Anolis sagrei: one gene and its partners. The protein of the gene in region 1 purifies or fractionates together with the protein of each later gene. This does not show direct contact. Links are inferred from orthologs where the notes say so. Each region holds a gene or a part of one and is shown on either strand. Other genes may lie near its edges. The genes, in order: RNF146, PARP2 and CHD1L.

Region 1 (7,578 bases):
CATTTTTGTTACCATTTGAGGTGAACAGTACAAGAGCACCATACCAACCAGTCTTTTAAAGTTTGCAATAAAGCTTTCTAATTATATTGTAAACAGCAACCCACCCAAGGGAAAGTTACCATCCTGTTTTTTGTTTTTAAATGCCATACAGCTATAAAATGCAAGACAATCTCTCACCAAATTCAGAACAAGACAATCTCCCACCAAAGTCACCTTCTTTTTCTAACCTCTCAAGATTTGGTGTGTTGTGATTATTACACATGCCCTCCCCGCCTCAAACAAATAAAGGGTGGGGGAGGGGAGAGAAAGACCGTGAATAGGAGGCAGAAAACTGACTCAAGCCCTAGAAACAAGTGCTCGTGACAGCCAAGAACACTGCTGTCCCTGCCTCATCTTCCACTCCATCCAGAAAAATAAGACAAAAATTCCCCCACGCACCTCCACCGCAGGAAGGTCAGCCTCTGGTGCAAGGCTGGCATTTGGAGCAGGGCAGCGAGGAAGAAGGTGGTTACATTAATTCTCTATTAATATTCAGTTTCTGTAGGTTTTTTGACTGCATTGTTCTTTTTAAAACTGAACTGCTCTGAAACCCAATTTTGAGGGGAAAGCTGGATATAACAAAGTATAAAAACATGATAATAATAATAATAATAATAATAAAGTAATAATAACCTAATTCTGTTTTAATATTCACTTCAGGTAGACTTTTCCTTGCATTGGTATTTTTAAAAGCCACTTTGAATCCTAATTTGATGGGGAACGTAAAAGTATGTAGAACAAAATATTGCAATAAATGTATTATTATTAATGATTAGTCGCTAGTTATATATACCCAGCCCCTAGGTTGCTAGATAATACACTATTTGCACTATTCCTTGCCCGGCCCTTGCCCATCTTAGAAATCCAATCATTAGTTTTGTTGAATGCGGTCCAATGGAGCTCCAATGCAATCTGTTTTATTATGTTAGGTTTAGTGTATTTTATCTTGGTTGTTGTATTTATGATGCACCAATTTATTGTGTTTTATTTTATAGATTGTCTTGCTTTTATGTTTTATGTTTGTGGACTTTTGCCCCATATGTAAGCCGCCCTGAGTCCCTTCGGGGAGATGGTGGCGGTGTACAAGAACAAAGTTATTATTATTAACAGTGTAATTTTGTTTTAATATTCACTGTGTAGGTGTTTGATTGCATTGTGGCTGCATTGTGAGCCACTCTGAATCCCAATTCCGAGGAGGAAAGCAGGCTGTAAATAAGTATAATAACAAAATAATAACATAATAAATATAGCAATGTCCTCCCTGGTGGCACAGTGGGTTTAACGCTAGGCTGCTGAACTTGCTGACTGAAAGGTTGGTGGTTCGAATACTGGGAGCAGAGTGAGCTCCTACTGTTAGGCCCAGCTTCTGCCAATCTAGCAGTTTGAAAACATAAGCACAATTCAAAGTGCTGGTCTTAACCTATAAATCCCTATATGGTTCCGGCCCAGTTTACCTGTCTGAACATATTCTCCCTTATGAACCATCAAGGATGTTAAGATCTTCCGGAGAGGCCCTGCTCTTGGTTCCACCACCTTCGCAAGCGCGATTGGTGGGAACGAGAGACAGGGCCTTCTTGGTGGTGGCCCCTCGACTATGGAACTCTCTCCCGAGTGAGGTGAGATCTGCCCCCTCCCTCTTGTCCTTCAGGAGGCTAGTGAAATCCTGGTTATGGAATGAAGCATTCCCAGAATAATGGCTGAGACTGGTTACAGACCAAAGTGCGTGACCACATATGTGGACTGAGTTGAACATGATTTTACCCTGGTGATTTGGTATATATGTATTTTATCTATATGTATTTTAATCTTATATTGTATGATGTTTTAACTTGTATTAGTGGCATTGAATCCTTGCTGTAAGCCGGTCTGAGTCCCTCTATGGAGGTGAGAAGATCGGGATATAAAAGTTTTAAATAAATAATAAATAGGGACCACTTATGCAGGAAAGGAAAGTAATGGCGCTCCACACAGTCATGCCAGCCACATGACCTTGGAGGTGTCTGTGGACATCGCCGGCTCTTCGTCTTAGAAATGGAGATGAGCACCAACCCCCAGAGCTGGACATGACTAGACTTAATGCCAGGGTAAATATAGCAATAATAATAACAACCTAACTCTAGTTTTAATATCCGCTTCGCATAGGTTTGGATTGCATCGCGCTTTCTTAAATTGAAGTCACTTTGAATTTGGAAGGGAGAGCATGACCAATTATAAAAAAGGATACTATTTTAACTGAATTAATAATATGAGTTGAATGATATAAGATAGATAGATTGCCTAGTTCTATTTTAAAATCCACTTGGAGTATGTTTTGACTGCCCTTTTTTTAAAAAAAAAAGTGAGTCTCTTTGAATCCCAATTTGGAGGGGAACGCAGGCTATTTTTTTTAAAAAAAACCACATAATGCGACAATAATATTACGATGATATAACAATAACAATCATACTCTGCTCCAACAAGTGCCTACAGAATCCTATGGGAGGAATGGGGGAGGCCAGGCTCGCTGGATTGACAAGCGAAACCTTTTCTCTCTCTCTCTCCCCCCCCCCCCTCTCCACTTCCAGCCCGCCTTGGATCCCAAGGCCAGGCGGCAACGGAGGGGGCCTTTGTTCGGCTCCGGAAGGAGAAACGGCTGCGGAGGGGAGGCGGAACTAAGGCAGAAGAGCTGGGGCGCGCGGGAGGGGGGGGAGGGGGAGAGAGAGAGCGCGAGCCCAGGAGGAGGCCCGGCCTCCGAATAAACGTAGAGAGAGAGAGAGCGCCGTCGTCGTCACGCAACCCCTTCCTTCCCTCACTCACCTCCCGCTTCGCTACTCAACCTTCGGCCAGCGGCAGGAGCCGATCTACTGCTCTCCCTCCGCCGTCTCTTTCTCTCTCAGTCTCTCTCTTTCTTTTCCGCCTCCTCCTCCCCCTCCGCTCGGTGATGAGGCTGCGCCGTCCTTCCCTTTCGCCTGCCTTCTCCCTCCGGCTAGCTCTGCCGCGACACAGAGCGCTCGAGCTTCCCCGACGTCATCACGCATTACGGTGGGCGGAGCCAAAGCGGGAAGCGCGGAGCCCAAAACAAAAGGGGCGGGGCGAAGAAGGGGAAGGGGCGGGGCTTCGGTTTGGGAGTAGGCGTGGCTTTGCAGGAAAGGCTCTGCAATTGGGTACTTTAAGGTTCTAGTAAAGAGTAGAGACACTGGCAACAAAGATCCGGCATGGTATTCCCTGTAGTCACCTACGGATGTGAGAGCTGGACCTTAGGGAAGGCTGAGCGAAGGAAGATAGATGCTTTTGAGCTCTGGTGTTGGAGGAAAGTGCTGAGAGTGCCTTGGACTGCGAGAAGATCCAACCAGTCCATCCTCCAGGAAATAAAGCCCGACTGCTCACTGGAGGGAAGGATACTAGAGACAAAGTTGAAGTACTTTGGCCACATCATGAGGAGACAGCAAAGCCTAGAGAAGACAATTATGCTGGGGAAAGTGGAAGGCAAAAGGAAGAGGGGCCGACCAAGGGCAAGATGGATGGATGGCATCCTTGAAGTGACTGGACTGACCTTGATGGAGCTGGGGGTGGTGACGGCCGACAGGGAGCTCTGGCGTGGGCTGGTCCATGAGTCACAAAGAGTCGGAGACAACTGAACGAATGAACAACACCAACAACAAAGGTTCTACACCAGGCATGGGCCAACTTGGGCCCTCCCTCCAGGTGTTTTGGACTTGGACTCCCACCATTGCTAACAGCCTCGAGCCCTTTCCTTTTAAGCCAGTGTTTCACAACCTGGGTATCAAGACCCTGGGGGGGGGGGAGTAATCAAAGACCACCAGGAAACACTATTTTCTGTTCGTCATGGGGGTTCTATGTGGGAAGCCCTGGCCCTTGACCGCTCCAGCTGGAGGTCAGCTGTGACCAGTAGTGCTGCAGAATTTGAAGAGGTACAAATGGAGGGCGAAAGGGAGAAGTGTGCCAAGAGGAACCAACCCCAATCGAGACCACCTTCCACCTGGAAACCAATGCTCTCACTGCGGAAGAAGATGCAGAGCAAGAATAGGGCTCCACAGCCACATACGGACCCACAAGACTATTGGAAGACAATCCTCCTCGGAAAACAAAGGATCGCCTAAGTAAGTCTATGTGGGAAATATGGTCCAATTATATCATTGGTAAGCTTTGATTGTAGGTGAACTATAAATCCCAGCAACCACAACTCTCAACTTTCTCCCACACTCCACCAGTGTCCACATTTGGGCATATTGAGTATGGAATATTTGTGCCAAGTTTGGTCCAGATCCATCATTGTTTGAGTCCACAGTGCTCTCTGGATGTAGGTGAAGTACAACTTCAAAACTCAAGGGCAATGCCCACCAAACCCTTCAAATATTTTCTATTGGTCAAGGGAGTTCTGTGTGCCAAGATTGGTTCAATTTCATCATTGGTGGAGTTCAAAATCCTCTTTGATTGTAGGTGAACTATAAATCCCATCAACTGCAACTCCCAAATGACAAAACCAACCCCACCAGTATTCAAATTTGGGTGTATCGGGTATTTATTGGGTGCCTGTCACTGAAAATACATCTTGCATATCAGATATTTATATTACAATTCATAACAGTAGCAAAATAGCAGTTATGAAGGAGTAACAGCAATAGTTTTATGGTTGGGGGTCACCACAATCTGAGGAACTGTATTAAGGGGTTGCAGCATTAGGAAGGTTGAGAGACACTGTTTTAAGCAACTAAGGGAGAAAAGGAAAGGGCCTGAGGCTGTTAGGAATTGTGGGAACTGAAGTCCCAACCACCTGGAGGGGAGGGCCCAAGTTTGCCCAGCCCTTATCTACACTGTGGAATGAATGCAGTTTGACACCACTCTAATTGCTGTGGTTCAGTGCTATGAAGTCATGGGGAGTAACTTGTAGCTGTGCAAGGTCTTTAGACTTCTCTGCCTAAAAGTTCTCATGCCTCATCAAACTACAACTCCCAGCATTGAGCCACAGCAGTTAAAGTGGTATCACGATGCATTCATTCTACAGTGTAGATGTGCCCTTGGAGCTGGGATCTAAATCAAAATGTGAAATTGATTTCTGTTTCAGGTACACCTTATCCATAGAACCAGAAGGTAATTTTATACACAATATTTTACACAGTTTTGTGCATGACCCAAAATGCTTGGAACCAGAAGTATTTGGATATTTCTTTTAGGAATACCTCACAGAATCTGGAATAAATGTGTGTTATCAGAAGATGAAACTGACAAATCACTTTTTTTTTTGCTTGCCCTTCTCAGGAATATTATGTGTGCTTTCAAGTCACTTATTGACCTCAACAGATTCATCCTCTGATTAGTCAGATTCTTCCTCTGAAATATAGTGTTCAATTGTGATTTCCCATCCAAGTACTAGCAAGGGCTGATCCTGCTTAGTTTCCAACAAGGTTTGGTACCATTTGGGTATTTCAACCATAAATGTATTAAATCATGCTTATTTAATGAGGGTATGAAAAACACATTTCCATAGTTTTTGGCCAAATAGCCTACTCCTGGAATGCTCTGAATTTATTTATTTAGGACATTTATACCCCGTCCTTCTCAACCTCTGAAAAGGGACTCAGGACGGCTTCCAACAGGCAGCTATTTGATGCTGACACATTATAATAATACAATATAAAATACAATTAGAATACATTAAAAACAGTTATAAATATGCATTTAAACAGTTGGCCAGTCCACTAAAACCTTATCTTCACCAGTAAATCAGTCTGTTCTGCAAATGCTTGATCCCAAAGCCAGGATTCGAGTTTCTTCCGGAAGGTCAGGAGAGATGGGGCAGATCTAATCTCATTTGGGAGGGAGATCCACAGCCAAAAGGGCACCACAGAGAAGGGCCTGTCTCTCATCCCCATCAAACATGACTGTGAAGGTGGTGGGACCGAGAGCCTCGCTGGATGATCTTAAGGTCCTTGGGGGTTTGTAGAGGGAGATACGTTGGGACAGGTAAACAGGGCTAGAGCCATTTAGGGTTTTTATAGGTTAAGACCAGCACTTTGAATTGTGCCCAGAAGCTAATAGGCAGCCAGTAGAACTGGCGTAACGAGAGTTGTACGTTCCCTGTACCCTGTGAGCAACCTGGCCGCTGAGCGTTGGACTAGTTGAAGCTTCCGAGCAGTATTCAGAGGCAACCCCACATAGAGTGCATTGCAGTAATCTATTTGGGATGTAACCAGAGCGTGAATGGGATATTTAAGAAGCTAGTATTCATCCTTTTGGACCTGCCTCTATGCCCCTGCTTCTCTTAATCACAATTCAGCTGCCATAGTTGCATAGTCTTTTGCTGGAACAGTATAGCTTTTCATTCAGAACACAAGCTGGTATTATCATATCTGTATTGTGCCAAGAGACCACTTAAATGTGATCTGCCAGCTGGGCAGCCCTTACTGCAGGGTTGCACAGCACAATGTAACAGTCAGCCCTCCATCTCCATGGATTTTGTATCCATCGATTCAACCATTCATTGATAGAAAATATTTAAAATAAATTTTTAAAAAGCCCAAACAAACCTTGATGTTGCCATTTTATGTAAGGCCCTATCTACAGTGAAGTTTAACTGCATTTGACTGCATTATTTATTTATTTGTTTATTTATTTATTTATTTATTTGACTTGTATACCGCCACTCCCAGTTTGGCTCGGAGCGGTTTACAGCAGTAGATCAAAAACAATACACCCAACTTTAAAATACAATAAAAACGAGAACAGACATAGTCCCGAGTTATTCACCCATCGAAAGTTTGTCGGAAAAGAAAGGTTTTACAGGCTTTCCGAAAAGCAAGTAGCTCTCGGATGGTTCGGGTTTCAACTGGCAAGGCATTCCATAAATAAGGGGCTACAATCGAAAAGGCTCTCTGCCTAGTAGAGGACAGATGATAAGTCCAGATGTTGGGGACTTCAAGCAAATTTTGGTCTTCGGACTGAAGTAATCTCTGGGGTTGGTAGAGGGATAAGTGGGCCCTCAGGTACGCCGTCCCCAGACCATATAAGGCCTTAAAGGTTAGTACCAGCACCTTGAAAGTGATCCGGTACTCTATCGGAAGCCAGTGCAGTTGTAGAATTGGGGTGATACGACACCTCGCCGGCACCCCGGCGAGAAGACGAGCCGCCGCATTTTGCACCAGCTTCAGCTTATATGGGTCTACACTGATCATATAATGTAGTTGGGGCCTAAGGGACACTATTTTGTATATCGTGGCTTTGGTATCCATTGGAGGTCCCAATGGGGTGCCAACTATGGCCTTCAAGATGTTGGATTGCAACTCTCAACAATGCTTGCAAACATGGCTAAAGATGATGTCGGGAGTTGCAGTTCTACTTTGTCCACTCCTACCTTAGTGAAGCAGAGAACTGTACTGCTAAGAGAACAAATACTTTAACACGCTTAAATGTACTAATTGCACTCCTGCTCTTTGGCCTAATGACATTAGAAACATTGGCTTTTAAATGTGCTTCATTAATAAATGCGAGGCCCTAACTCTCCAAAGATAATTGCATAAAAGTCTTCTGCTGCAGAGCAAA
Region 2 (7,155 bases), on another chromosome or scaffold:
CAAACAAAACAAAAAGTTCTTGTTTATGGAACTAGAATAGAGAGGGTAACATTTTAACCCAAGTATGGCCAAACTTCAGCCGTCCAGGTGTTTTGGACTTCAACTCCCACAATTCCTAACAGCCTACCGGACTGAGGGTTGGTGCTCATCTCTACTTCTAAGCCAAAGAGCCAGAGTTGTCCGTAGATGCCTCCTGGGTCATGTGGCCAGCATGACTGCATGGAGTGCTGTTACCTTCCCACCAGAGTGGTACCTATTGATCTACTCACATTTGCATGTTTTCAAACTGCTAGGTTGGCCGAAGCTGGGCCTAACAGTGGGAGCTCACCCTGCTCTCTGGATTCGAACTGCAACCTTTCGGTCAGCAAGTTCAGTACTCAACAGGTTAACCCACTGCACCACCTGGGGAGCTTATATTATTATTACGCTTATATTATTATTACGCTTATATTATTATTATTATTATTATTATTATTATTATTATTATTATTATCAGGCTAGTTCCCACCAACTAAGCCTGCCTTCTGACTGATCAGGAGCAAGTCTATCCTGTCTGGATTAAGTTTCAACTTGTTTGCCCTCATCCAATCCATTACTGATGACAGACACTGGTTTAGGGTCAGGACAGCTTCCTTATTCTCATTTATGACTTAGATGAAAGGTTAGAAGGCATGATCATCAAGTTTGGAGACGACACCAAACTGGGAGGGATAGCCAATACTCCAGAGGACAGGAGCAGAATTCAAAACAATCTTGACAGTTTAGAGAAATGGGCCAAAACTAACAAAATGAAGTTCAACAGTGACAAATGCAAGATACTCCACTTAGGCAGAAAAAATGAAATGCAACGATACAGAATGGAGGACAATGCCTGGCTCGAGAGCAGTACGTGTGAAAAAGATCTTGGAGTCTTCTGGGGAGGAAGGTGAACATGAGCCAACAATGTGATGTGGCAGCAAAAAAAGCCAAAGGGATTTTGGCCTGCATTAATAGGAGCATAGTGTCTAGATCCAGGGAAGTCATGCTACCCCTCTATTCTGCTTTGGTTAGAACACACACGGAATATTGTGTCCAATTCTGGGCACCACAATTCAGGAGAGATATTGACAAGCTGGAATGTGTCCAGAGGAGGGCGACTAAAATGATCAAGGGTCTGGAGAACAAGCCCTATGAGGAGCACCTTAAAGAGCTGGGCATGTTTAGCCTGAAGAGAAGGCTGAGGGGAGATATGATAGCCATGTATAAATATGTGAGAGGAAGCCACAGGGAGGAGGGAGCAAGCTTGTTTACTGCTTCCCTGGAAACTAGGACGCCATGGAACAATGGCTTCAAACTACAAGAGAGGAGATTCCATCTGAACATGAGGAAGAACTTCCTGACTGTGAGAGCCGTTCAGCAGTGGAACTCTCTGCCCTGGAGTGTGGTGGAGGCTCCTTCTTTGGAAGCTTTTAAACAGAGGCTGGATGGCCATCTGTCAGGGGTGATTTGAATGCAATATTCCTGCTTCTTGGCAGGGGGTTGGACTGGATGGCCCATGAGGTCTCTTCCAACTCTAGGATTCTATTATTCTATATATTTGTCGTGTCATCCGCAACCAGAACATTGTATTACATTTCTAACAGAACAAAACAAGCAAACAGATAAAAAAACCCAAAAAAACACACAAATTTTGAAAACTTGGTAGCTGATTAAATGTCCTTTGCCCAGTATCTGGCCACTAGGAGTGCCTGTGGTGTTGCTGCAAGAAGGTCCTCCATCGTGCATGTAGCAGGGCTCAGGCTGCATTGCAGTAGGTGGTCAGTGGTTTGCTCCTCTCCACACTCGCATGTTGTGGATTCAACTTTGTAGCCCCATTTCTTAAGATTGGCTCTGCATCTCGTGGTGCCAGAGCGCAGTCTGTTCAGTGCCTTCCAAGTCGCCCAGTCTTCTGTGTGCCCAGGGGGGAGTCTCTCATCTGGTATCACCCACGGATTTAGGTGCTGGGTTTGAGCCTGCCACTTTTGGACTCTCGCTTGCTGAGGTGTTCCAGCGAGTGTCTCTGTAGATCTAAGAAAACTATTTCTTGATTTAAGTCATGGACGTGCTGGCTGAAACCCAAACAAGGGATGAGCTGGAGATGTCTCTGCCTTGGTCCTTTCACTATTGGCTGCTACTTCCTGGCGGATGTCAGGTGGTGCAATACCAGCTAAGCAGTGTAATTTCTCCAGTTGTGTAGGGCGCAGATACCCCGTGATAATGCATGTCTCATTAAGAGCCACATCCACTGTTTTAGTGTGGTGAGATGTGTTCCACACTGGGCATGCATACTTAGCAGCAGAGTAGCACAGCGCAAGGGCGGATGTCTTCACTGTATCTGGTTGTGATCCCCAGGTTGTGCCAGTCAGCTTTCGTATGATATTGTTTCTAGCACCCACTTTTTCCTTGATGTTCAGGCAGTGCTTCTTGTATGTCAGAGAACGGTCCAGAGTGACTCCCAGGTATTTGGGTGCGCTGCAATGCTCCAGTGGGATTCCTTCCCAGGTTATCCTCAGAGCTCAGAGCTATTATTCTATGATTCTTGTACAATAGGGACTCATCTGGATATATGTGGCACCACACTCCCACCACACTCCCAAAGTGACCTCACAAAAAACAACACAGCTCAGGCAAAAATACAGATCAGGCATAAACATATTGTTCACCCAACCAACCCATTCCCCCATATGATCAGATTGCAAAAATTGCCCCTTGGAAGAGGGTTATAAACAAATATAACAATAAATAATAACAAAATACAACTCCCATAATTCCACAGCATTGAGTCATGGCAGTTAAAGTGGTGCCAAACTGCATTAATGTTGCCTTAATAAATATATCTACCTTGCTTCGATTTGCACCCTCTCCCTTTTGCAACCTACCCAAGTTCCTGCTGTGCTCTTTGCAACCAATGCTGCAAACTCCGCCCCTTTTCCCCTTCTGCTTCCCTTTGCGCGCGCTCCCGGGAACGTTCTACAGGCCAGCTAGGCCCGCCTCCTCATTTGCATATACATTCGTTTGCATGTGAACTTCTAGGAGGGCGGGAAGATGTAAATTAACCGTATTGCACTATGGACTCAGGCTTCCTAGGCTTGTAAGTGTGTTTGCTTCCCCGCGGTTAAATTTTCCAGGTACAGCATTACAATTCTAAATCCTTTCAAACTGTGTGAAGCATATGCAAAGAAATTTTTAAGAAAGTCGCCCTATCTTGAAATTTATTTCAGACTCATGCTATATATACAGAAGGGATAGCGGGCTTTTCAATCAGGCTGGGAGGAAGCTCTCCGAAGAGGCCACATGCTGAGTGTACGTCACTCCCGTTGCTCCTCTGGGAAGGTCTGAGAGAAGGGCCGCTATTTCCGCCTTAGCAGGGCGCCACCTTCGGAAGGTGGGTGAGTTCCCAGCGATATGGGCCTCCGGCAGCGCCCCAGATTTGAGGCAGGAGAAGCGGGCACAGGATCCACTCCTTCCCGCGGATGCCTCCGCGGCCTGCTTGGGGTTTGGGAACGACTCACGGCCAGCAAATATGAGTACAATGGGCAGAGGTGAAGCCATGGCTTCATAACCCAATTCAGACTAGTCTCCACCCAGCAAATCCTTTTCCCCACTTTATTTAACACTAGCCCTCCCCTGCCACGCATCGCTGTGGCCCAGTCTGGTGATCACAACCAGACACAGTGAAGACATCTGCCCTTGCGCTGAGTATGCATGCCCAGATCTCACCACACTAAAACAGTAGATGTGGCTCTTAATGAGACATGCTGCATTATCACAGGGTGCCTGCCTCCAGCCCCACACCACTGGAGAAATTACACTGCTTAGCCGGTATTGCACCACCTGACATCCGCCGGGAAGTAGCAGCCAATAGTGAAAGGACCAAGGCAGAGACATCTCCAGCTCATCCCCTGTTTGGGTATCAGCCAGCACGTCAACAACTTAAATCTAGAAATATCTACAGAGACACTCGGTGGAACCACCCCAGCAAGCGAGAGTCCAAAAGTGGCAGGCCCAAACCCAGCACCTCAATTCATGGGTGATACCAGATGAGAGACTCCCCCCTGGGCACTCAGAAGACTGGGCGACTTGGAAGGCGCTGAACAGACTGCGCTCTGGCACCACGAGAAGCAGAGCCAATCTTAAGAAATGGGGCTACAAAGTGGAATCCTCAGCATGCGAGTGCGGAGAAGAACAAACCACTGACCACCTGCTGCAATGCAACCTGAGCCCTGACACATGCGCAATGGAGGACCTTCTTGCGGCAACCCCAGAGGCACTCCAAGTGGCCAGATACTGGTCAAAGGATATTTAACCAAATACCAAATCTGCAAAATCTGTGTGTTTTTTTCCCTTTTTTCCCTTTTTCTTTTTAATCTGTGTGTTTGTTTTACTCTGTTAGAATTGTAATACAATGGTTGCTGATGACACGATAAATAAATAACATATAATTGTCCTTGTATAGTCGAAGGCTTTCATAGCCGCAATCACTGGGTTGTTGTAGGTTTTTTCTAGAGGCATTTCCTCCTGACGTTTCGCCTGCATCTATGGCAAGCATCCTCTGAGGTAGTGAGGTCTGTTGGAACTAGGAAAAAGGAATGTGGAATGACCAGGGTGAGACAAAGGACTCTTGTCTGCTGGAGCTAGGTGTGAATGTTTCAACTGACCACCTTGATTAGCATACAATGGTCTGACTGTGCCTGGAGCAAACTTTTGTTGAGAGGTGATTAGATGTCATAGCATAGCATAGATGTCAGCCATAGCAGAGCACCCGATGAACCAACCTGGACACAGCATTTTATTTGAGAACACAGAAATGCTGGACCACTCTCACAACTACCATGTCAGACTACACAGAGAAGCCATTGAAATACACAAGCATGTGGACAATTTCAACAGAAAGGAGGAAACCATGAAAATGAACAAAATCTGGCTACCACTATTAAAAAATTGCAACAGCACAACAACAAAGAGGAAGCAGGCAGGGACATCGAATTACCTCTCAACAAATTGGGTCTTCTTAGGTCCACATCACATGAGCACGTAAGGAAGGAGACAGTCCCAAAAAAAGATTTAAAAACAAGGTTTATTTTAGTTTCTTCATGAACAAGACGGACAGCCTGGCAGCATACGCAGATGCTACCCTTCAAGTGACTGCCGCGCCCCTTTGGCTTTTTTTCCCCCATTAAATCTTTATTGAATTTCCAGTTTACATTTAAAATAGAGATGTGTGGCCAAAGCGCCCCCTTGGCTTTTGTACACCGTTATATACCCTCAAGTAAACAAGAACATTTTTTTTGGTCATGGAAAGTATTCTCTTTCTAGCCCCTCTCCCTTGACCTTTTGATGGAAAGTACCTTCTTGTACCTGCAGGCTCTGCGCTTAACCACAACCTTTGAACTTAACCACAACACAACTTCCTATGTAGGCTTGAACTTTGCATGACCTCTGCATGTCATATCTTGTTTCTTAAAAACATTTTCTTCCGTGTTGCTCTTTTTCTACAGAGAAAGGGTATATTTCTCTTTTGCTGTTAATTTCCTTCAAATCCCCTTGCTTAGCATTTGGAAATTTCACTCAAAGACCTTTTCAGGTGAACTATAAATCCCAGCAACTACAACTCCCAAATGACAAAATCAATCCCCCTCCCAATGCCACCGGTATTTAAATTTGTACGTATTGGGTATTTGTGCTCAATTTTGTGGAGTGAATGAAAATTCATCCTGCATATCAGATATTTACATTACGATCCATAACAGTAGCAAAATTACAGTTATGAAGTAGCAACGAAAATAATTTTATGTTTGGGGGTCATCACAACATGAGGAACTGCATTAAGGGGTCACTGCATTAGGAAGGTTGAGAGCCACTGAATTAAGAAATGCCATTTATAACCCAGGAACAAAAATTGAGTTACATAGTGTTATCAGTCTTGCATTTGCCTCACTTGCTAAGCGGCTTTGTTCCAGTCTTATCCTTTGCTTCGTTTGGGTTTGTTTTACTTCTGCAGTTGGAAGTCTTCCTGAAACATATGAGACAAAGATAAAGCACGGAATGGGGAACTGGTGTTGTTGAAATATGATGTTGGCAGCTGTAAGGGGACATAGTCATAGCAACTGGGGCCTCCCAAGGTGCGTCCGCACTCCAACGAGTAAGAAAATTCGATGTGTCCATAACGTGAATAACAGGTGAGCCCAACGGTGCCTCCTCCGGCCACCAAATTGCCACGACATTTCTGCAGCAGGTCATCATGCCAGACGTCATCGTCCCACAGTTCCACCAGAAAAGGGTTGTGGTCCATCAGCGTCACAGCCCCAAAATCCACAGTTTCAGTCCAGTTGGGGTGGTTGTTGTTCCAGACAACCTTGGTTCGCCTTTCCTGGTCTTGGAAGAAAACCTTGACGTAGGCGTCGGTGGCGGTGAATTGATCGCCCCAAAGGTTGGCACCAGTGGAAATGGTGAAGCTGAGACGTGCCCGGCCTCGTTCCCAGGCACAGCACATGTCATTCACGATGGCATCAGCTTGGCATTTACATGTGCAGCTCTTCTCTGTGTTTTGGGTGCTCCAGGATGGGCAGTCTTGTGGGCAGTCCCTCTTAAGGGCTCTCTGGCTGATATGACCCACAACGGCTCGCTTCAACAAGTCCCTCCTTGGATCTGTTCGGGGCAACAACATATGAAGAGGTAGGAGGGAGAACGAGATCAAACCGGGCTTTGTTTTTGCCGTCTCCATCCATTCTGAAAAGCGCTGGACTTCTCCAGTTTGCGAGAAGAGCATCTCCACTCGCTGGTCTCCTCCCACCACCTCTGTGCGTTGTCCACTGTAGATGTCATAAAAGTTTCCCCAGCCCTTCGCTCCCCAGAGCTCTTGGCACTTGGACTTGAGGGAACTGGATCCAAAGAGCAATTCGTGCCCCAGACTAACCTCCCAATTCAGGCAGTCCTTGATCTTGGAAATGGTGAAACCTGCCAAGGCCATAGTGCAAGTGCGCACAGCTAAGAGGTGGCGCACTCGCCCTCCCAAACGGACGTGGCTGATATAGTGCGTGCCATAGATGTTGATAAACTGCTGGTACTCCTCAAGGTTGGACTTCCTTGGCAGCCTCTCCAGCGCACGAGAGAAGTACTGGGACAGAAGGGGAGGAT
Region 3 (6,931 bases), on another chromosome or scaffold:
CATGACATCCCACTACCATCCCACCACCCCTATTCCCAGATAGTAAGAATACTTTCCCAGTTGAGCAAATAAGAATATACAGTTCTGCTTTTTTGACATCCAAAATCTGATGTTTGGATAACTGCTCAATCTGCTTAAATGCAAACCCAACTCTACATGTATTCATGGACAAAAGATTATTCCTATCCAGCACAGCTAATAGCAAAAAATGTTGGGGAAGCATCTAGGGCACCAGCTCTCAAATCATGGAACTCTTCAGAAGACATTTATGTTCTGTAGAACCCTAACTCTATCAGCAATTTGTTTAAAATCTCTCTCTCTCTCCCTCTCTCTCTCTCTCTATATATATATATATTATGCCAATTCACATACTTCTCTCAATTTCTGATATCGAGTTTTGGAGAAAATTTTACTCTTTGATATTTTATGAATAACATCCCAATATTCTAAACATCTTTAATCTCAAAAACTGTACCTGAAAGAAAAATTCACAAAAAGGCGTGTGGGAGCAATGTGAAAAATCATTTACGTGTGCATCACTCTTGTTCAGATGGCAAATGTTGAACTGGGTAGCCAGTAACTACATTACTGATAACAATAGCTGTAGTCCAAAAAAAGCTCTTACGGGGAGTCTAAATTAAACAGTTAGCCTCGTGTGGTTTTATTTTAAAATCTGTTTTAAATTTTATTTTAAAGATTTTTATGGAACCTATACAATGCTTTTGAGGAGCCCTAGGGTTTTGTGGACATGCTGATCTAGGGGCTGGTCAACAATTAAAAATACCAGGTTTTTCTACAGAAGGAGGGAGAGATATACCTGGCAAGTCTTCCCAAGGCCCATTTCATCACCCAGGATGCAGCCACGCCACGTTCCATAGCAATGTGTCAACCAGTTCACACCTTCCAGCTGATACGGATGGAGATGGATGCCTTGAGTGAAGAAAAAAGAGAGAAAAAGAACCACATACATGGAAAGGGTTGCATCAATCTGATGGGTAAAGGCTGGAACTTTGGTGTTGCTCTAGGATTTCCTTCTCAATCTTTCCCTCTAAAATCATACCATTTAGGTCTCTTCCACAATGCCATATAATTCAGATTATCAAAGCAGATAACTGGATTGCTTTGAACTGGATTGTATCGGTCTACACTGCCATATAATCCCATCCAAGGCAGATCATCTGGATTTTATATAGCAATGTACATGAGTCTACACTGCCACATAATCCAGTTCAATGCAGATAATCTGGATTTTGTATGGCAGTATAGAAGGGACTTTACAATTATGGCAGCTTGACTCCAATTCAACTGCTATGGCTGAATCCTATGCAATCACATGAGTCTGAAGCCAAGAAAAAACAGTGGATCAAGCTGATAACAGAAGTCGACATGGGCAGGAGCAGTCAGAAGGCGGGAGGCTGCTAAAACAGTTGAGCAATGATCCCTCACAAACTAATACTCATGCCAACATAAAGGCAGATCAGATAGCGCATCAACTTCTGAAGAATGGGAAACCCAACCTTGCCACCAAAGTAGGAAGGAAACAAACAGACAACAAGAAAATGAGAACAACAACCTTCATGAACCTTTTACATCTACTGAACTGGACACGGCCTTCAATAAATGCAAAAATGGCAAAGAAGCTGGCCTGGATGATCTACGGATGGAACAAATTAAGAACTTTGATGCACAAAAACAAGGTGCTGGCTGCTGGAGCTGTTGAACAACTTGCATTGCATCCTGTCAGATCCACAAAATCTGGAGGAAAGCAAGAGTCATAGCCATCTTGAAAACAGGCAAAGACCACAATGATCTAAAAAGCTATCAACCAATCTCCTTACTGTGTCATCTTTACAAAGTTCTGGAGAGACTTATTTTGCATAGAATTATGGAAAACATAGAACAATGTCTGATTCCACAGCAAGCTGGTTTCAGGGAGGGCAAAAGCTGCACATCACAAGTGCTGAACCCGACTCAGTACATAGAAGACGGTTTTGAAAGGCAGCAGATTACAGGAGTTGTCTTCAGCAGCCTATGACATTGTAAATCAATGCCTTCTCCTGAGGAAAATGTATAATATCACAAAGGACTACCACCTCAAAGAGAGTTTCATCTATGCTGAAGATTGTGCCATCACCGCTCAAGAGAAGCTTTGAGATGGTTGAACAGAAGCTCTCCAAAATTTTAGGTGCTCTTACTACCTATTACAGGCAAAACCAGCTGATTCCCAACCCATCTCAGACACAGAGGTGTGATTTTCATCTTAAGAACAGACAAACATCTCAAGTTCTGAGGATTACTTGGGAAGGAATTCCACTGGAGCATTGCAGTGCACCCAAATACCTGGGAGTCACCCTGGACTGTTCTCTGACCTACAAGAAGCACTGCCTGAATATCAAGCAAAAAGTGGGTGCTAGAAACAATATCATACAAAAGCTGACTGGCACAACCTGAGGATCACAACCAGACACAGTGAAGACATCTGCCCTTGCGCTATGCTACTCTGCTGCGGAGTATGTATGCCCAGTGTGGAACACATCTCACCACGCTCAAACAGAATGCAAAGTGTTTTCTCAAATACATTGGTTCGCTCCTGATATGATAAATCAAATACGTAAGTTTGACAAGATCTTTAGCTTCTCTGCCAAAAAATGCTACGGATTCATCGAAGTACAAATTCCAGGGTTCCATAGCATTGAGCCATGGCAGTTGAAGTGGCATCGAATTCTACAATGTAGATGCTGCCATGGCCTATAAAATACCAGGCCTGATTTCCTGTTATAGTTGTTTATTTGCGTAGTATCTGTTCTGAGAGCCAGGCGTACTTACCGGTCAGACCCCATCGGTTTAAATGGGCCTCCTCGACCCCTGCGCCTGCTTGGCTGGATCTGCTCCTGTCTGCCACAGCCCGGAAGAAGAGGGACATCCCTTCCTGCCCCTCAAGCGAGCGAGCGAGCGAGCGACCCTTCAGGCGACACGAGGTCCAGCTCGGCTTGCTTCTCCGAGGTCCCTCGACTTTCTAAAGCGGCTTCCGGAAGGAAAGAAACAGGCTCACGCCCATTGGTTGATGGGTAGAAGCGTCTCTTTGTGATTGGCCAGGATTGCGACGGTCAGTTTCCGCTGCCGCCGCCGCGTCTTTCCCGCTTTTTCGCGTCTTTTCCTTTTGGGAATTGGGAGTGCGAATGATCCTGGAGCATGGCGCTTCGCCAGTTAATGGGGTCTCAAACTGTGTTAATCTTCTATATATATATATATATGCTCTGTGCATAATGAGTACCTTGAAAACAAAGGAACCCATGAACGAAATCACACTAAATTTGGCAACAAAACGTTTCAGAACACAAGGAATGACCATCACGCAAAAAGTTATGATTTTGCCATTTGGGAGCTGTAGTTGCTGGGATTTATAGTTCACCTACAATCAAAGAGCATTCTGAACTCCACCAACGATGGGATTGAACCAAACTTGGGGGGGGGGGGATTGAAATTCTCAGGGTGACAAAATTAATTTTTTTTGTGTGCCACGATTTGAGCATTATTAGCCTGAGTCTTTTATAGGAAAAATCTGTTGATGTAGTCCCATAAAAGTTGTAAATTAATGATACATGTCTTCCATCCTGGATCCATCCCAGTTTCCTGGCCAGATGTTTACTCTTCTTGATTGGTGTTGATCTTATGTTGACTTCCTTCTTAACATAAGGAAAGTTGCAAACATTTCCGTTATCACTGTCCCAGTTCTTATCACAACTTCTCATTAGCAAGTCCAGCAAGCAGGTAGATAGTCATTGCAGGCCTTAATATTATACTGGTGTTTCCAAAATTATTAGCTCAATTCATACAACCTTCCATTCTTCCATTCATTCCCACACATCATTATTAAATTTACATTTATCAAATTTGCACACTGAATTTCTTATTACAGACTAATCAATAAAAACATATGGAGTTGGGTGTTTTGGATTTCAACTCCCACAATTCCTAACAGCCGGTAGGGCCGAAGTTTGCTCATGGCTTGGTTAGGGGCACAGGACCCCTGTGAGAAACGATATATGGAGGACTGGCTGTATGTTCCATCTCCTACACTCCCTGGTCCAGTGGTTCTCAACCTGTGGGTCCCCAGGTGTTTTGGCCTACAACTTCCAGAAATTCCAGTCAGTTTACCAACTGTTAGGATTTCTGGGAGTTGAAGGCTAAAACATCTGGGGACCCACAGGTTGGGAACCACTGCGGGCAGGCCCGTAGCCAGGATTTCGATTCGGGGGGGGGGGCTGAGTCTGAGTGAAAGAGGGTCTACCCTAGCAAACCTTTTGTATCGTTACCCCAATACCCCCATGCATATGAGATATATTGAGCATGGTGATCAGATCATGATATGAATAAACATAACAGTTTAAATAATATACCAGTAAGGCCTTTTCGCAAATCACCATGAGAATTTGGGGGGGGGGGGGAGGGGGGGCTGAAACCCCCCATGCCCCCTCCCCGGCTACATGCCTGGTTTTGGAGTTATGTTAATCACACGAATGAACATTACTTATTTATTTATATATTATTATTTTGTGCATATGTACCTGTCACTCTACCCCCGCCCCCCCCGCTTTCATCTTGTAATTTAATCCCATTTTACCATACTTATTATTTCATAAAATTTTATTGTGTTTTAATTTATTTTAGTTAACTATTACAGAAGTTTTAGGATAGTGATTAGTGTTTATTTGTCTGTGTTTTTTTTTTGTCTTTTATTGTTGTTATGGTTGGTGGACTAATCAATAAAAACATATGGAGTTAGGTGTTTTGGATTTCAACTGGCTGCCAATTTGCTACCAGCCACAATTCAAAGTGCTGGCTTTAGCCTTTAAAGCCCTAAACGGTTCTGGCCCGACCTACCTGTCCGAACGCATCTCCTCCTATGAACCAGTTAGGACATTAAGATCGTCTGGGGAGGCCCTGCTCTCGATCCCGCCGGCTTCACAAGCACCCCTGGTGGGGACGAGAGACAGGGCCTTCTCAGTGGTGGCCCCTCGGCTGTGGAACGCCCTTCCTGCAGATATTAGATCAACCCCCTCCTTGCTGGCATTCCGAAGGAAAGTAAGGACCTGGCTGTTTGAACAGGCATTCGACTAAGCAGTGTGATTGATTGACTGATTATCGGAACACGGAATAATGGATAACGAGTTTGGATTCTGATTTCATTGATGAGACCTGATGGATTTGTTATATTGATGTACTGATGTATTGATGCTGATGTCTAATGATTTGTGAAGCTATTGCTTTTAAATGCCTAATGATTTTGTATTGTGTATACCGAAACTGTTGTAAACTGCTCTGAGTTGCCTAAGGGCTGAGAAGAGCGGTATACAAATAAAGTAAATAAATAAATAAACTCCCACAATTCCTAACAGCCGGTAGGGCCGAAGTTTGCTCATGGCTGGGTTAGGGGCACAGGACCCCTGTGAGAAACGACATATGGAGGACTGGCTGTACGCTCCATCTCCTACACTCCCAGTGGTTCTCAACCTGTGGGTCCCCAGGTGTTTTGGCCTACAACTCCCAGAAATCCCACCCAGTTTACCAGCTGTTAGGATTTCTGGGAGTTGAAGGCTAAAACATTTGGGGACCCACAGGCTGAGAACCACTGCGGGCCTGGCCCATAGAGAGGTACCCGAGCATTTCCAGCGGTGCCCCAAAGGAAGGCCCCTTTAATTGTGAAGGAGGAGCACGTGAGCAGGAGGGGGCAGGCTGGATGTGCACCTGCCGCACACGCGCGCTCCTCGGCACGCGCCGCCCGCGAGCGCCTCCATCCCCCCCCCCCCCCCTATTGCACTCGTGAGCGGGACGCAGCGCCATCCCTTTTCTGGCAGAAGCTCGGCCCCTGTGAGGCCAGGCCAGACCAGCCCCGGCCCCGCCTCCGGAGGGCTAACGAGCTTGGCGCTGGCCACTCTGCCCTGAGGCCGCGATGGAGGCAGAGGAGGGGGGTTGCTGCCTGCTGCTCAGGGCGGCGTGGGGAGCGGCGCTGGCGCTGGCCTTCTTCCTGGGCTTCTTGCGGAGGGCCACGGGGGCGCCGGGCACAACTTTCCATCGGCGGGAGCACGGCCGGAGCCAGGCAGCCCAGAAGGGGCCGCCCGCCGACGCGGTAAAGAGAACCGGGCGGAGGGGGGGGGGGGAGGCATTCGAGGCGCGCCTCCATTGAGCCGCGGATTTGGGGGCGCAAGGAAGGCGGGGCAGTACTAGGCTCCGCTTTGGTCTACTGCTACCGCTTTCGCTTTCACAGCGGGACTGGCTTCCACAGGGCTGGGTCCCGCTTGATTTGAGGCGACCGAAAAAGACCTCGTGACGTGGTTGCAAAACGTCTCTTTTTTTTCTCAAAGCATTTGAGAATGATTGTGACTGCGTTCAAATCCGGGGTGAGCACCCGTCTGCCAGCTCCGGCTCCCCATGCGGGGACATGAGAGAAGCCTCCCACAGGATGGTAACACATCCGGGCGTCCCTTGGGGAACGTCCTTGCAGACGGCCAATTCTCTCACACCAGAAACGACTTGCAGTTTCTCAAGTCGCTCCTGACATGAAAAAAAATGTGTCCCCAGTTAACAAAGGGCACATTTGGCTGTTACTTTGTAAACACTCCAGTTGAGTCTACATTGCCATATAATTCAGTTTCAGAATGCAGGTTAACCTCAGTGAACTATATCTATATAAAAATGCTCTGCACATAATGAGTACCATAAAAACAAAAGAACCAATGAACGAAATCACACCACACCAAATTTGGCCACAAGTGTCAGACAAAACTTGTCACTACACAAGGAGTTACCATCACTCAAAAAATTATGATTTTGTCATTTGGGATTTATAGTTCAACTATAATCAAAGAGCATTCTGGACTCCACCAACGATGGAATTGAACCAAACTTGGCACACAGAACTCCCATGACC

The links.
Region 2: the proteins of RNF146 (region 1) and PARP2 purify together in Homo sapiens (affinity purification with mass spectrometry; 4 studies listed by BioGRID and IntAct, counting the BioPlex papers as one, with this or other methods). This does not show direct contact. The link is inferred for Anolis sagrei from reciprocal best matches to the Homo sapiens genes RNF146 and PARP2.
Region 3: the proteins of RNF146 (region 1) and CHD1L purify together in Homo sapiens (co-immunoprecipitation; 3 studies listed by BioGRID and IntAct, counting the BioPlex papers as one, with this or other methods). This does not show direct contact. The link is inferred for Anolis sagrei from reciprocal best matches to the Homo sapiens genes RNF146 and CHD1L.

Annotation. Positions count from the first base shown.
Region 1 is NC_090021.1:84,808,398-84,815,975, forward strand, and holds the start of RNF146 (E3 ubiquitin-protein ligase RNF146), read right to left. Parts: upstream 3,068-7,578; 5' UTR 2,836-3,067; intron 1-2,835. UniProt on the Homo sapiens protein: E3 ubiquitin-protein ligase that specifically binds poly-ADP-ribosylated (PARsylated) proteins and mediates their ubiquitination and subsequent degradation. May regulate many important biological processes, such as cell survival and DNA damage response.
Region 2 is NC_090026.1:13,338,829-13,345,983, reverse strand, and holds the start of PARP2 (poly [ADP-ribose] polymerase 2), read right to left. Parts: upstream 3,017-7,155; 5' UTR 2,860-3,016; intron 1-2,859. Other genes in the region: perforin-1-like, read right to left, coding at 6,008-7,155. UniProt on the Homo sapiens protein: Poly-ADP-ribosyltransferase that mediates poly-ADP-ribosylation of proteins and plays a key role in DNA repair.
Region 3 is NC_090022.1:166,739,738-166,746,668, forward strand, and holds the start of CHD1L (chromodomain-helicase-DNA-binding protein 1-like), read right to left. Parts: upstream 3,034-6,931; 5' UTR 2,924-3,033; coding exon 2,827-2,923; intron 931-2,826; coding exon 818-930; intron 1-817. Other genes in the region: uncharacterized protein, read left to right, coding at 5,954-6,130. UniProt on the Homo sapiens protein: ATP-dependent chromatin remodeler that mediates chromatin-remodeling following DNA damage.